Linked DNA regions of Callithrix jacchus. The protein of the gene in region 1 purifies or fractionates together with the protein of each later gene. This does not show direct contact. Links are inferred from orthologs where the notes say so. Each region holds a gene or a part of one and is shown in the gene's direction. Other genes may lie near its edges.

Region 1 (4,893 bases):
CCAAAAGTGTGGAGGTGAGCCTGGGCAACATAGCAAGACCCCATCTCTACAAAAAATACACAAACTGGCCAGGTGCAGTGGCTAACGCCTGTCATTCCAGCACTTCAGGAGGCCGAGGCGGGTGGATCACGAGGTCAGGAGATTGAGACCATCCTGGCCAACGTGGTGAAACCCCGTCTCTACTGAAAATATGAAAATTAGCCAGGTGCGGTGGTGCGCGCCTGTAGTCCCAGCCATTCAGGAGACTGAGGCAGGAGAATCACTTGAACTCGGGACTTGGAGGTTGCAGTGAGCCGAGATCACGCCATGCACTCCAGCCTGGGTGACAGAATGAGATTCCATCTCAAAAAAACAAAAAATAGAGTGGAGGCCAGGTGTGGTTTCTCACTCCTGTAATCACAGCACTTTGGGAGGCTGAGGTGGGAGGAACATTTGAGCCCAGGAGTTTTGAGACCAACCTAGCCAACATCGTGAAATCCTGTCTCTACAAAAATTAAAACATTAGCAAGGCATGACGGCTTGCTAATGGTTCCAATTACTTGGGAGGCTGCATTGATTACTTGCATTGTCCAATTACTTGGGAGGCTGAAGTGGAAGGATCATTTGAGCCCGGGAGATGGAAGCTGCAGTGAGCTGTGTTCATGCTGCTGCACTCCAGCCTGCACAACAGAGCAAGACCCTATCTCAAAAAAACATACAGGTCGGGTGCGGTGGCTCATGCCTGTAATCCCAGCACTTTGGGAGGCTGAGGCAGGTGGATCACCTGAGGTCAGGAGTTCAAGACTAGCCTGACCAATATGGAGAAGCCCCGATTTTACTAAAAATACAAAATTAGCCAGGGATGGTGGTGTGCACCTGTAATCCCAGCTACTCTGGAGGCTGAGGCCTGAGAGTTACTTGAACCTGGGAGGTCGAGGTTGCAGTGAGCCAACATCAGGCCATTGCACTCCAGCCTGAGCAACAAGAGGAAAACTCCATCTCAAAAAATATATATATGAATAAAAACAAAGCTGTGAGATTGGGCGAGATTGGAAGAGGTCATCGAGGGAATGAGCGAGTGTCTTGCTCATCAAGAAAACCAGCATCTGGCCTGCAGTGAGCATGTAGTGTCGTTTTATTGCTGACTCTCTGTTAAGTGCTTGCTCGTGAGAGAGGGCAGAGGCCAGTGTTTGCCAAGCTCTCATCCTGTGCCAGGGCACATGAGAGGGGGTACACGGGGGCCTTTCCTTCCTAATACTGCTCTCCTTCCAGTCTGTACCAACAAGAGCCTGGGTTTTGCGCCTGCTGACACCGTCCCTCCTACCACACCCCTGTAGCCACAGCCAACTGACCTCGGGCAGCCAGTCAGCCCCTTCCTTCCTCCGGGTCCGGCAGTGACTCTGGGCTCCCACAAGCCCCTGCACTTCCTCTGTCCCAGCCGGGTCTCTCCCTGCAGGTCATCACTCCCTGTCCGTCTCTGGCTGCTTACACAGCCGGAGCAAGGGCCACTAACTGAGCTTGCTTCTTCCTGTGAGATAAGTCACTCATGTACACAGTTGTCACCCGAAGAACGCAAACGCGGAGTCAGTTCAAGTCTTCCTCATACGAAACCCCCCGCACACATTCACGGGTGCTCCACTCACGAACAGTGGAAACAAGCCACCCTGATGTCCATCTGCCGATGAGCGGATACGTAAAACGTGTTCTGGCCATACGGTGGAAAAGTACTCAGCAAAAAAGGAACGCAGCTCTGCTTCCAGGCCACCACGCGCATGAACGATGAACGCATTCAGAGAAAGCAGCCAGACACCAAAGGCTGCAGATTCCAAGATCCCATTTATAGGAAATGCCCAGAATAGGCCAATCCATGGAGACAGAAAGTAAGATGGGTGGTTGCCAGGGGTGGGGGCAGATGGGCTGAATCGGGGGAGCTAACGGAGGTAGGGTTTTCGGGGTGATGAAAGAGTCCTAAAATTGATTGTGGTGACGACTGCCTAACTGAACATACTAAATACCATTGAACTATATATACTTACTTTAAAGGGGTGAATTGTATAGTATGCGAATCACAGCTCAGAAAAGCAGTTACCAAATGGAGGCTTCTTCCACCCCGTCCCCTGGAAACCAGTTTCTTAGCTCTCCTTGCAGAACAATGCATTCAAAGCAAACTGATTTATACCTAGTCTCTGCGTTAAAAGCAAAATGATTTATACGTACTCTTCTGCCCACCTTGTCAAATTGTTACTATTTCCATTTTATATATTTCCCTCTTAATATTTTGAAAAGTTTGAAACCTGCAGAGAAGGTACAGATTAAGCACAGTGAACAGGCTGTCGGCGCGACACCTCCTTTGCTTTATCCAAGCACACACATAGACTTGTGCTTTTGTCCTTTTTTGAGATGGAGTCTCGCTGTCTCGCCCAGGCTGCAGTGCAGTGGCACAATCTCGGCTCACTGCAACCTCTGCCTCCTGGGTTCAAGCAATTCTCCTGCCTCAGCCTCCCGAGTAGTTGTGATTACAGGTGTGTGCCACCGCACCCGGCTAATCTTTGTGTTTTTAGTAGAGACGGGGTTTCACCATGTTGGCCAGGATGGTCTGGATCTCCTGACCTTGTGATCCACCTGCTTTGACTTCCCAAAGTGCTGGGATTACAGGCGTGAGCCACCGCACCCAGCCCCTTCTGTCCTTTTCTTGGCTGAACTACTGAAAGCTGTGGTCATCGTGATACGTCACCTCTGAAAGATCTAGCAGTTGACACCTTTTTTGGTACAAGAACTCACTCTGTCATGCAGGCTGTAATGCAGTGGTGTGGTCACAGCTCACTGCAGCCTTGACCTCCCCAGGCTCAGCTGATCCTCAGCCTCCCAAGTATCTGGGACTAAAGGTGAATGCCACTGCACCCTGCTAATTTCTGTATTCTTTTATAGAGACAGGGTTTCACCGTGTTGCCTAGGCTAATCTGAAACTCCTGGGCTCGAGCAATCCCCTCCTCGGCCTCCAAATGTCCTGGGATTACAGCCGAGAGCCACCGTGCCTGGCCTCCAGCAGTCAGCTCTTAAGAACAAGATGTCCAACCGCACAACTACAGTGTCGTCATCGTCACGCAGTTTAACGTGACACGGTGACGTCATCCAATAGACAGTCTTTATTTAGATCTGCCCCGTGTTCCTGTAATAGTCTTCAAAGCTATTAATAATTTCTTTTTTTTTGAGACTGTGTCTCACTCTGTTGTCCAGGCCGGAGTGCAGCGGCACGATTTCCGCTTGCTGCAACCTCTGCCTCCCGGGTTCAAGCAATTCTGCCTCAGCCTCCTGAGTAGCTGGGACTATAGGCACACACAACCAAGCCCGGCTACTTTTTTTTTTGTATTTTTAGTAGAGACGGGGTTTCGTGTTGGCCAGGCTAGTCTCGAACTCCTGACCTCAGGTGATCCGCCTGCCTCAGCCTCCCAAAGTGCTGAGATTACAAGCATGAGCCACCGCACCCAGCCCATAATTTCTTTTTTTTTTTTAATCCAAGTTCTAACCTAGGATCACACACATTTAGCTGTCACAGCAACTTTTTCTTTCCTCTTTTTGAGACAGGGTCTTGCTCTATCATTCACCAGTACAGTGGTGCAATCACGGCTCACTGCAGCCTTCACCTCCCAGGCTCAAGTGATCCTCCCACCTCAGCGTCCGAGTAGCTGGAACTATACATATGCACCACCATGCTTAACTAATTTTTAAATTTTTTGTAGAAATTGGGTCTTACCATGTTGCTTGGGCTAGTTTCTAACTCCTGGCCTCGAGTGACCATCCCACCTCAGCCTCCCAAAGTGCTGGGATTACAGATGTGAGCCCCTAGCCCAGGCGACTTTCTTCTTCATGACAGTGACAGTCTTAAAGGTTTCAGCGCAGTATTGTCACCCTGCACTTTGGATTGGTTTGTTTCTTTGTTTTTGTTGCTTGTTTTTTTTTTTTGACTGTTGTTGTTTGGTTTTTTTTTGTGACAGAGTCTTGCTCTGTCACCCAGGCTGGAGTGCAGTAGCATGATCTTGGCTCACTGCAACCTCCACCTCCCAGGTTCAGGCGATTCTCCTGCCTCAGCCTCCCGAGTAGCTGGGCTTACAGCTGCCCACCACCATGCACAGCTAATTTTTGTATTTTACTGGAGACGGGGTTTCACCATGTTGGTCAGGCTGGTCTCAAACTCCAGACCTCAAGTGCTCTGCCTGCCTCAGCCTCCCAAAGTGCTGGGATTACAGGTATGAGCCACTGTGCCCCAGTGATTCGTTTCCTAATGACTAGAATCAGGGTAAACATTTTCTTAGACCTTTTTTTCAACCCAAAAGATAAAACTCTGAGTGCACCTTTGTGCACCTTGCTTTAGCTACTGAACAGTGCCTCTTTGAGAACCTTCCCTATCAGTACACAAGGAGCTTCCTCATTTCTTTACACAGCTGCATAGTATTCCATGGAACGGACTTAACATAACTTATTTAAACAGCCCCCTAGGGAAGGACAGTTAGGTGGTTTCCAGTCTTTGGGGATTTCAAACAGTGCTGCCGGAAATAACCTTATAAATGCAGTTTTTCTTATGTGATAATGTATCTGCAGCATACGAGCCTAGATGTGGACTTGCAGCCTCCAAACTTTTATGTTTGTAATTGAGGTGTCATTTACATGGCATGCCATGCCCAAGTCTTCAGTGTGCAGTTGGCTGTATAGTGTGTTTTATCAGCCCAGAAACGCCCTCACACCCTTCCCAGTCTCTCCCACCCTAGGAGCAGCCGCTAGTCTGATTTCTAGCACTGTAGATAATTTTAGTCTATTCTACAACTTTGTCTAGATGGTATCATACAATATAAACCTTTTTTATGGAGGTAAAATTAGCTATTTTAAAGCAAACAATGGCTGGGCGCAGTGGCTCAC
Region 2 (4,364 bases), on another chromosome or scaffold:
TCCTATTTGTAAGCCATGTTAGGTAAAAGCATGTGCTTGTTATGAAGGCTTAGGGAGGAATTAGAGTTCAGACTTTGAGTCATTGGCTGATTCTTCAGCCATGTTTTAGCTTCTTCTACCCTTTCCATAATCAAACCAGACTTCTGTGGAGCTTTTAAGATTTAGCACTTGAGGTTCCATGGGATGCTCAGATCCTGGTATTGTGCTTTTGTATTTGAAAAGAGTTGTGGGTTTAGGCTCTTACCTTTGTTATTGGATAGTCCATGGTTGTCATTTTGCCTTTTGTGGCACTTGCCACAGGTTGGATCTTCAGAGAAGGTTATTTTCCCCCTTCTCAATTTTTTTTCCTAGTTCAGATTTCTGTTTTTAAAAGATTGGCTCTGAAGAATCAACTTTTCCTGGTTCTTAAAACTAGTGCAGACGTTCTGTCGGCTGTTTTCCCTGTCCCACTATTCCCCACGTCTCTGTCCTCTGAAAAGGCCTCTGCCATTTTAATTGTAGCATGTGATTAGGGAGTAGAATTCTTTACATGTGGGAATTCTGTCTTTTCAATGCCAGATTTCTTGTGAACCTGTGAATTCTGGACTTTGAATGGGTTTTTTTTTTCTTTTCCTTTCTTTTTTCTTTTTTCTTTTTTTTTTTTTTGGCTTTCAGTCTTTTAATAGTTGCCATTTTTCAAAAATGGCAAGCCTCTTGGTTTGGCCATGGGTGGTAATATATGTATTTACTGTTGAATTTCTTAATTCAACAGTACATTTTTTTAATTTAAGAGGACAAAAGCATTGGTGCCAGTTTTTTTTCACTTCTTTCTGCCCTAAAAGAAAAAAAGTCAGATGTCTTTGTGAGAGTTCATTGGGAATTTGTGGGTAATTGTTTACTGCTTTGTTTAGAACATAGTACTCGAGTTTTGGCCAGGTGTGGGATGTGGACTTTTTTGCACTCCTGTCTCCAGACAGGGCTGTTAAGAGCCTTGGATGCAGCAGTGAAAACTGTGCTCACATTGCACTTTTTTTTTTTTTAAGGTTTTTAGTCCAAGCTCAACCTAATGAGTCTTGGCTTTGGTTACCAACAAAGGAGTTCTGCTTTCCTCTCTACTCACACTGTTCTAAATGTACCAGCATAGGAGGCTCGCCCTGTCCTGTGCTGGATCAGATTTGTTCTGTGGGTTTAGAAAGCTCATCTTTCCCTCTGTGAGTTTGCAGCAGAGAGTGGGGAGTTGAGGCCCTGAGATAAGTTTGGAGTAGACTCCTGGACAAAACGGTGGGTTTCTAAGAGCAAAGCAGTTGAATAGAAAAGATATCTGATGTTACCCGTGAAAACCAGGTGTTTGGATTTTTTTTTTCATGGCAACCCAGAAAGTGACATGTTGTTCAGCTAAAATAAAGGACCTATATTTTTAATGGAAACCTCCTTTGTCCTGGGGTTTGAGGTAGCTATAGCTTTGAATATAGAAAAATGTTTCGTTTAGCTATTATAGTATACTGAATATGCTGCTAAAGAAATTTTGTTGGTGCCGCCCTGTTTTTTTTTAACTCCCCCAAGCAGTGTATTACACAAAATTGGCAATGAGACAGCCAGTGGGTTCATTAATAAGTAATGAAATAATGAGCTAATTGATGCTAAAGTGTAATGTTGTAGACATGCTGCTATTTGAATACAGAATATAGCTTATGAAGGAGCAAAGTCTTATATCACCAACTAGTAGAAAGTCATTTCCTTTATCTGTAGATGGCTCTTCAGGCTTTTCTAATTGAAGATAATTTATTGAAGATATTCAATAAATAACAGCTTGTAATTTTGTCCCATTAATTCAGTTACATGCTTTTGAAGATGCATGTGCGGTGGATGTGGTGTTTTGAGATCTAATTGTTGAATGAATAGGTATGCCATGGGAATTCTCTAAGTATCTTAGAACAACATTTTTCAAACTTTGCCGACTATGAGCATTACTTGAAGATCTTGCTAAAATTGAAATTCTGCATCAGTAGGCCAGGAGTGGGAACTGAGAGAGTATTCCTAATAAGCTCATGGGAGATTCTGATGCCTCTGGTGTGTGGAGTACAGTTTGAGTAGTAAGGCCTTTCAAAACACTTACTATATATTTTAAGTTCATCAGTGTTTTTTAGCCTCTAAGTGAGCATCTAAGTGAATTCTGGGCTCTTACAAAATTAAAAACAAATTCCCGGAACTCTCTGGGAAGGAACTGTTGATTAGCAGTCTTAATGGGATTAGCTGGATAACAGTGAAGGAATACTCCAGTGGCAATTGCACTTTAACATTTAAAACAGAGAAGGAAAGAACATTAATTCCTAGAGTGTGGTCCTAGACCAGCAGCATCAGCATTATCTGGGAGCATGTTAGAGAAGCAGATTCTCAGGTCCCACCCCAGACCTGCTGAATCTGAAACTTGGGAAACAGAATCTGGCAATTTGTGTTTCAACAAGCCCTCCAGGTGGTTCTGATGCACACTCAAGTTTGAGATGATATCTAAGTAGCAGAGTAGGTTATTAGGACACAGATAAAATTGATTTCCAAAGCTTATGCTTCTAGAGCAATGTGACTGATATATTTTATTAGAAAGAATTATCAATAAGAGCTTGAGACTATCATTGTTCTTTAATGGAAAAAAAAAACACCTTTTACTTTAATCATTTGAGCATTTATTATGCATATTAGGTTACTCTTTTCAGCTGAGAATGAGATCTTTCCTTCCGTATTTCTCTATCACTTGCTGCAACCAGGAAGGCTGAGAAAGAATTTAGATGGTATTGGTTATACAGCTCCCACAGCTCTCTAAAATTATAGAAAGGTGGCGTGCTGTTTCTTATGGTTGGTGTGTGTGTTGCAGTAGTGTGAAGTAGACCCTCCTCCGTTTTGTGACATCATGGCTAGAAGCCACTATCTGTACCTGTGCCCTTCAGGGCTTCCTCATATTGTCTGCTTATTGGTATAGTTCTTTTGCAGGTTTTCCTTGGGAAGGGTTCAATGAGTTTTAATAGAAGGGGCAAGGCAAATTACGCTTTTGGCTGATAGGGAGTAAGAAAACTGGTAACTTTGTTTCTCATTTTATCACTGTCATTCCTTAAAACTAACAAGTGTGTCATCTGATAGAGTTTACTTGAGATAGTTAACCTTCATGATAAAGACTACTACTAAATCTTGGGTTAATTTGCAGCCATTAAGAAATAGGAACTGAACAGCTGAGTAACTGATCTTCAATTCTCTATACTTGGGATTTGCAGAGAGTGGGTGGCATCAAGATAGAGCTAGACAGGAGGGTCCATGGTGAGCTTGACTGGACAGAAGGGAGTCAGGCAGAGGTTTAAGACCAGCAGTGGGAATGGACAGGCATTGTAGGTCGGAGAGATGAGACTTACGAAGCTAGTCAAAGCATGGAATTAGAAGTAAGTGTTTGAGATGTTGACAATTCTGATAATAGAGTTCAGAAGTTAGCTAGCATAGGGCAGGACCCAAATAAAGGATTTAGGCAGTTAACTGATAAAGGGCCATTAAAGGCTTGGGACATAGCAGTGCGGGAGAAAAGTGAATGTTAGTTAATTCTAAGTATCAAACAGAGGCTGCATGATCTCAGGATTCCACATACTTACCTCAGTCTAGATCTGATCTCCCGGTGGGAGAAAGATTCAGTCCAAAGTAACCATATTTACCTTGATCGGAGTCAGAAATGATTGGGGTTAGCAAGACATTCCATTTTCTTGTTAGAGTAAATTATTCAACCCCACCCATGTTTCATTTTTTTCTTGTCCTACCAGTGACCGAAAAAGTCTACGAGAGTGAATCCTGCACAGATAGTGAAGAGGAACTTAAGATGAAGACATCCTCACTACACAGACCCCCTGCCATGACTGTGAAAAAAGAACCCAAAGAGGAACGAAAGGGCCCCAAGAAAGGGACTGCTGCTCTGGGCAAAGCCAACAGACAGGTGTCCATTACTGGCTTCTTCCAGAGGAAATAAACTGCCATCTCTGGTAGATCAGAGACTTGGAGTGGTCAAGGGAGAAGACCAAGAAGTGTACTCCTCACTTACTATGTAAGTTCATCTAGATCTCCACCTCACCTGTAGCAAAAGACTGTTCTTTCATCCTGTGAGGTTTATACTGTTTCTGGTTTTTAACCAAAGGGAAATCATCTGGAAGCAGGAGGCAAAAAGCTGTAACCTTCTAAGGACATTTAAAAAGCACAATCTTTGACCTGTCCAGGAGAAGGATTTACCATAAAACTATACTGGAACAGGTTTCGAATCCTCACTGAAGCCATTTAGTGGCTAATCCACTGTGCCCCACTCACCCTATGCCCTGGTCCACATATGGCACAGGAACAATTCTTTCTTGTTCCTCCGTATT
Region 3 (4,932 bases), on another chromosome or scaffold:
TCAAAGGAGGAAGTGAGGGTAAGACCCAGAAAAATGACCGCCAGACCTCTTCCCGGGGCGAAACGCCAGGGCAGGAGGGGTGTACCATGAGAGTGAGAAGGCGCTGCCAGGGCCTTCAGGATCACCAGCGAGCGATCCCACTCCCAAAGCTAGGAAGGATCCCAACAATCCCGAAGGCGACTCTCACCCCGCACCCCACCTTTTCTGGACTCCCAGACGGCCGAGAGGCTCTAAAAACCCCTCAGGGAAAAATAAAGATTTCTTTCCCAGAGTCCTGCGCTGCTTTTCCAAGTCGGATTCCGGCAGACACGATCTGCAGCCGGATAATGACACAGTCTTTGGAAGGAGCGACTGTTCTCGCCCCGCTCGCTCCGAGTTATGGGGACGCCTGGCTGCCCGCGCCGTGCCCCGACGGGCCGGCGTCCGACCCCGGCCGGAGCTGCCAGGCCAGCAGCGCCCTCGCCCCGGGCCCTCCTCCCTTCGTCGGCCCCGCTGCGGTCTGCAAACATTTCCTGCCCCCACCCCCACCAGGAGCTTCCCAGTTGGAGAGAGTTGGTCGTGCAGCCGGCTCCGTGCTCGCAGTTGCCCCAACTCAGCTCCCCCCGCCGCCCGGCGCTGGCGAGCAGCCCCGTCTGGCTGCTGAGCAGCCCATCGGGGAAACCCAGGCGCCAGCAGCCGTGGGGAGTCGATCGGTAAGCCCAGGGCTCGGGCGAGGACGGGGACAACTGGCGGGATGCCCAAGGCCCTGCTCCTTTCCCCGTCGTTACCTGCTCGCTTGCGGGGGTGTCCCGGGGCGGCCGGCCTCTCCCGGCGCTGTCGCCCCACGCAGTTGCCCATGCTGGTTCCTCAGCCAGTCCCCATGCACAGGAGGCGGGGTGGTCGGCTGCTCAGCGCTCCTGCCCCGGACGGCGGCGTCCCAGATCAACGGCTCCGGCCGCCCGGCATCAGGCGCTCCCCGACCTCCCCCCGGGGACGCGCTCAGCCCCGACGCTGGCTCTGCCAAAACTTTGCTGGCCAGCGGAGAGAGGGAGGTGGCAGACTCCGCAGCACGGTCCCAGGTGGCCGGGCCAGGGGGGCCCGCGACGGTGCCCGGCTGGAGACCAGCTCCGCTGGAGGGGCGGAGAGAGGGGGCGGGCACCGCCGTAGCTACTCCCTGCTTGCTCGGGGTTCCAGGCAGGGGCCGGCCCCCCAGAGCCTGTCACTCACCTGCCTAACCCCGCCCCAGCCCGGCCCCGCTCCCTTCCGCCGGCTCGCGGTGCCCCAGCCGCCGCCACCACCCGCCCCAGGTGCGCATGTGACCGACAGCACCGCCCCCTCGGGCTGGGCCTGATTTTCTCATTGGCTTCCCCTGTGGTGCGTACCGCCCCTCTCCCCACCCAGCCAGGTGCCCGCCCCGCCGCCCGTCTCCAGGGGAATAGGGCCGGCAATTATTAGCCCTCAATGGTCCCCTACTGCGTGCCCAGCAGCCGCCTTCCCTCTCGGTGCCACCGCCCCATTCCGCGCCCCGCCCCTCCGTGGAAGTGCCTGGACAGAAGCCGGCAGACACGTGACCCGGGGCGCCCCGCCCCCTTAGCCTTCTCCCGGCTATTGGCTCAAGGGGCGCATGCGCGGAGAGGCTCGTCTGGTGCCACAGCCCGTATCCCCTCCCACGGTCTCCACTTCGCGTCATGGCCGCCGCCGCGGCTTTGGAGGCGGCGGCGCCTACAGACGCCCTATGGGGCCTCGTGCACGACTTCGTCATGGGTCAGCAAGAGGGCCCCGCTGACCAGGTGGCTGCAGGTACGGCAGACGGCGCCGCGCGCCTTCCGCATGGGGGCCAGCAGGAGGAAGCGGCCTCAGCACTGGAGCCGGGCGGGAAGGGAGGGGTACGGGTGACTTCGAGAGATTGGTCTCAAGGCTGGCTGGTTGGTGAGCACCGCGAACTTCAGAACCGTAACAAGCTGGAGAGTTCCCTATGTCTACCTTAAAACCATTTAGACTCCTCATCTCCCCGTAGCCAATGATAGGGAATGGCTACAATGATAGGGAATCATTACAGATGAGGAAACAGGCCCAGCGAGGGCAAGAGGACTTGCGCAGGGCTGCAGACCAGGCAGGAGGGGGAGCTGGGACTCGGATCCATGTGTTCAGATCGGAACCAGGTGCTCACGCCATAAAGCCACGCTGTTTTTGGGAGGTTGGTGTGAGGAAGCGCATCCTCGCAGCGGCCGCTCCCGTCGCGTGGCATCCTGGGAGTGGCGGACTGCCCCGCGCTCTAACTGGCTGGAATGAAGAGGAGGCGAGGAGCCGAGGAGCCGGGCCATGGGGAGCTGGCAATGTTCTGCGTGTCCTCCTTAAGACTTTGCGTTTCTTGCTAAAGTTCTTGATTAATTTGCTCCATGACTTTTTATGTGGCTTTTGTTTTTATCTTCTTCCCAGACCCTCAGTTTCCTGCTTTTGACCAGTTCAGAGATCTTTTTGTTCTGTAATTAGAATAAAACAACTTCCAGGCTTCCGTGGAGTTCTGAGACTTCGCTTTTCTAGGAAAAAAAATCTACTAAAAAGTTATTGCATGTTAGGAGGCCTTCAAATCTTGGGTTTAAGTAACAGAATATAAAATTATCTCATGAGTAGTTTTAAAAAATTTGTTTTTGGAAATTTTGCATGCTTGGAGAGAAGTAAGGACACATTTCTCTTGCAAATTGAGCGTATTAACCTTTAGAGTGTGTAAGAAAAGAATAGTGAATCTGCTAGAAATATAATACTTTGTTCGTTAGTAGTATTCCATTTTCATTCAATTATACCACTGTTGTTGAACACATATTATTCCCCAAACATGATGCAAAGCAATAGGTATATAAATACAAATTAAGTTAGATCTGTGCCCACCAGGAACTTATAGTATGCTGGGAGAGGCAACCATTCTATAAAAGGTGATTGCAGGGAAGTTTGGAAGGAGCAAATACCTGGTGCTGCCACCAAATTTAACATCTTACAGTTTTATGAAATATAATGTGTTATCACATTTACAAGTACAGTGTGTTATCCATGGCATTTCCCTCATGTTTTATTATGAAAATTTTCGAATATCCAGCCAAGTATAAAGAATTTCATAAGGAATACATCACCTAGATCCTACCATTATCATTTTATTGCTCCCTTTATCATATAGCTACCCATCCATTTAATTTGCAGATACCTGTACATTTTTCTTTAACTGCATTGGCATGCATGTCATTGACTAGAGTTTGTTGACGGTGAATTTGTTGTAAAATTTATATCCAATGAAATATATAAATCTTTAAGTGTATGTTTACTGATTTTGACTAATCGTACACCTGTACCATCCAACCCCCTACCAACCTAATATAGAGCATTACTATAGCAGTGTCATTTGTGACAAGTCTTTCACATTTATAAATTATGAAAATAATAATTTTGGATTTTTTTTTTATTCAAAACATTTTGAAAAGACATCTTGAATAAGGACTTATCTTGAATAAGAACTGCTTACTTCTCTTTTTTTTTGAGACAAGGTCCTGCTCTGTCTGCTATGCTGGAGTGCAGTGGTGCAGTCATGGCTCACTGCAGCCTCAACCTTTGCTTAAGCAATCCTCCTGCCTCAGCCTCAACCTGTGCTTAAGCAATCCTCCTGCCTCAGCCTCCTGAAGTAACTGGGACTGCAGGGTGTGTGCCACTGCACTCGGCTAATTTTTATTTTATTTTATTTTTTTGTAGTGATGAGGTTTCACCATGTTGCCTAAGCTAGTCTCTAACTCCTGGACTGAAGCCATCCTCCCATCTCAGCTTCCCAAAGTGCTGGATTACAGGCATGAGACACTGGTTCTTATAAACATTTTTGCAAAATTTATATTTTTGTTTCTTTCTGGAAAAAAGTGATCTAAACTGTTTAGTTTGAATTCAGCTGAGCTCAGCTAAGACTCTGTAACACTAGCCCTGTTGTAATTTAGCCCTTCTAAGAAAAGAAAGTTGGTGCTGGGTACAGTGGCTCACACCTGTAATCCCAACACTTTGAGAGGCCAAGGTGGGCAGATCACTTGAGCCCAGGAGTTGGAGACCAGCCTGGCCAACATGGTGAAAGCCTAACCCTATCTCCACTGAAAATACAAAAATTAGCTGGGCGTGGTGGTGCACGTCTGTTATCCCAGCTACTTAGGAGGCTGAGGCTGGAGAATCGCTTGAGCCTGGGAGGCAGAGGCTGCGGTGAGCGGAGATCACACTATTGCACTCCAGCCTGGGTGACAGAGCAAGACTCCATCTCAAAAAAAAAAAAAAAAAAAGAAAAGAAAGTTGGTACAGAGGAATAGTAACAGATAAAAGTTGAAAAGGTTTGGTGGAGTTGGATTATGCATAATTTTGGATTACAGGCAGAGGGATTCGTAGATCCTCGAGCAATGAAGTCATAAAATGAAAATGAACTTGACAAGGATTAAGTTAATATTGTCGATCTTAGATCACAGCCCTAGTTAGGGTTGTCGAAGGGTAACAGAGTGCTGAAGTGTCCATAAAATAAGATGTACTTTCTAATCCTTCAGCCTAAATCAAGTTTTGTTAGTGCTAAAGGGACCAGCTAGCTTCCTATTCAGTCACTCAGCAGCAGCCTGTGAATTTTAATGGAGAAGGAACACCCTTTGATGACAAAAGCAGCTGCTGCCACCTTTGTTTTGTACCCTGGGTTCCTGGTGAAAGTGTCAGCTGTAAAGAAGGTGCAAGTGGCCGGGGCTCGGGGCTCGTTGGCTCAGGCCTGTAATCCCAGCACTTTGGGAGGTGGAGGTGGGTGGGTCACAAGATTGAGACCATCCTGGCCAACATGGTGAAACCCTGTCTCTAGTAAAAATACCAAAATTTCCTGCATGTGGTGGTGCACGCCTGTAGTCCCAGCTACTTGGGAAGCTGAGGCAGGAGAATGGCTTGAACCTGGGAGGCGGAGGT

Evidence for each region.
Region 2: the proteins of POLD1 (region 1) and POLD3 purify together in Homo sapiens (co-immunoprecipitation; 8 studies listed by BioGRID and IntAct, with this or other methods). This does not show direct contact. The link is inferred for Callithrix jacchus from reciprocal best matches to the Homo sapiens genes POLD1 and POLD3.
Region 3: the proteins of POLD1 (region 1) and MMS19 purify together in Homo sapiens (affinity purification with western blotting; 3 studies listed by BioGRID and IntAct, with this or other methods). This does not show direct contact. The link is inferred for Callithrix jacchus from reciprocal best matches to the Homo sapiens genes POLD1 and MMS19.

The regions. Positions count from the first base shown.
Region 1 is NC_133523.1:44,035,728-44,040,620, forward strand, and holds the start of POLD1 (DNA polymerase delta catalytic subunit), read left to right. Parts: upstream 1-1,690; 5' UTR 1,691-1,758; coding exon 1,759-1,859; intron 1,860-4,893. UniProt on the Homo sapiens protein: As the catalytic component of the trimeric (Pol-delta3 complex) and tetrameric DNA polymerase delta complexes (Pol-delta4 complex), plays a crucial role in high fidelity genome replication, including in lagging strand synthesis, and repair.
Region 2 is NC_133511.1:66,321,534-66,325,897, reverse strand, and holds part of POLD3 (DNA polymerase delta subunit 3), read left to right. Parts: intron 1-3,773; coding exon 3,774-3,976; 3' UTR 3,977-4,364. UniProt on the Homo sapiens protein: Accessory component of both the DNA polymerase delta complex and the DNA polymerase zeta complex.
Region 3 is NC_133513.1:90,318,935-90,323,866, reverse strand, and holds the start of MMS19 (MMS19 nucleotide excision repair protein homolog), read left to right. Parts: upstream 1-1,619; 5' UTR 1,620-1,667; coding exon 1,668-1,779; intron 1,780-4,932. UniProt on the Homo sapiens protein: Key component of the cytosolic iron-sulfur protein assembly (CIA) complex, a multiprotein complex that mediates the incorporation of iron-sulfur cluster into apoproteins specifically involved in DNA metabolism and genomic integrity.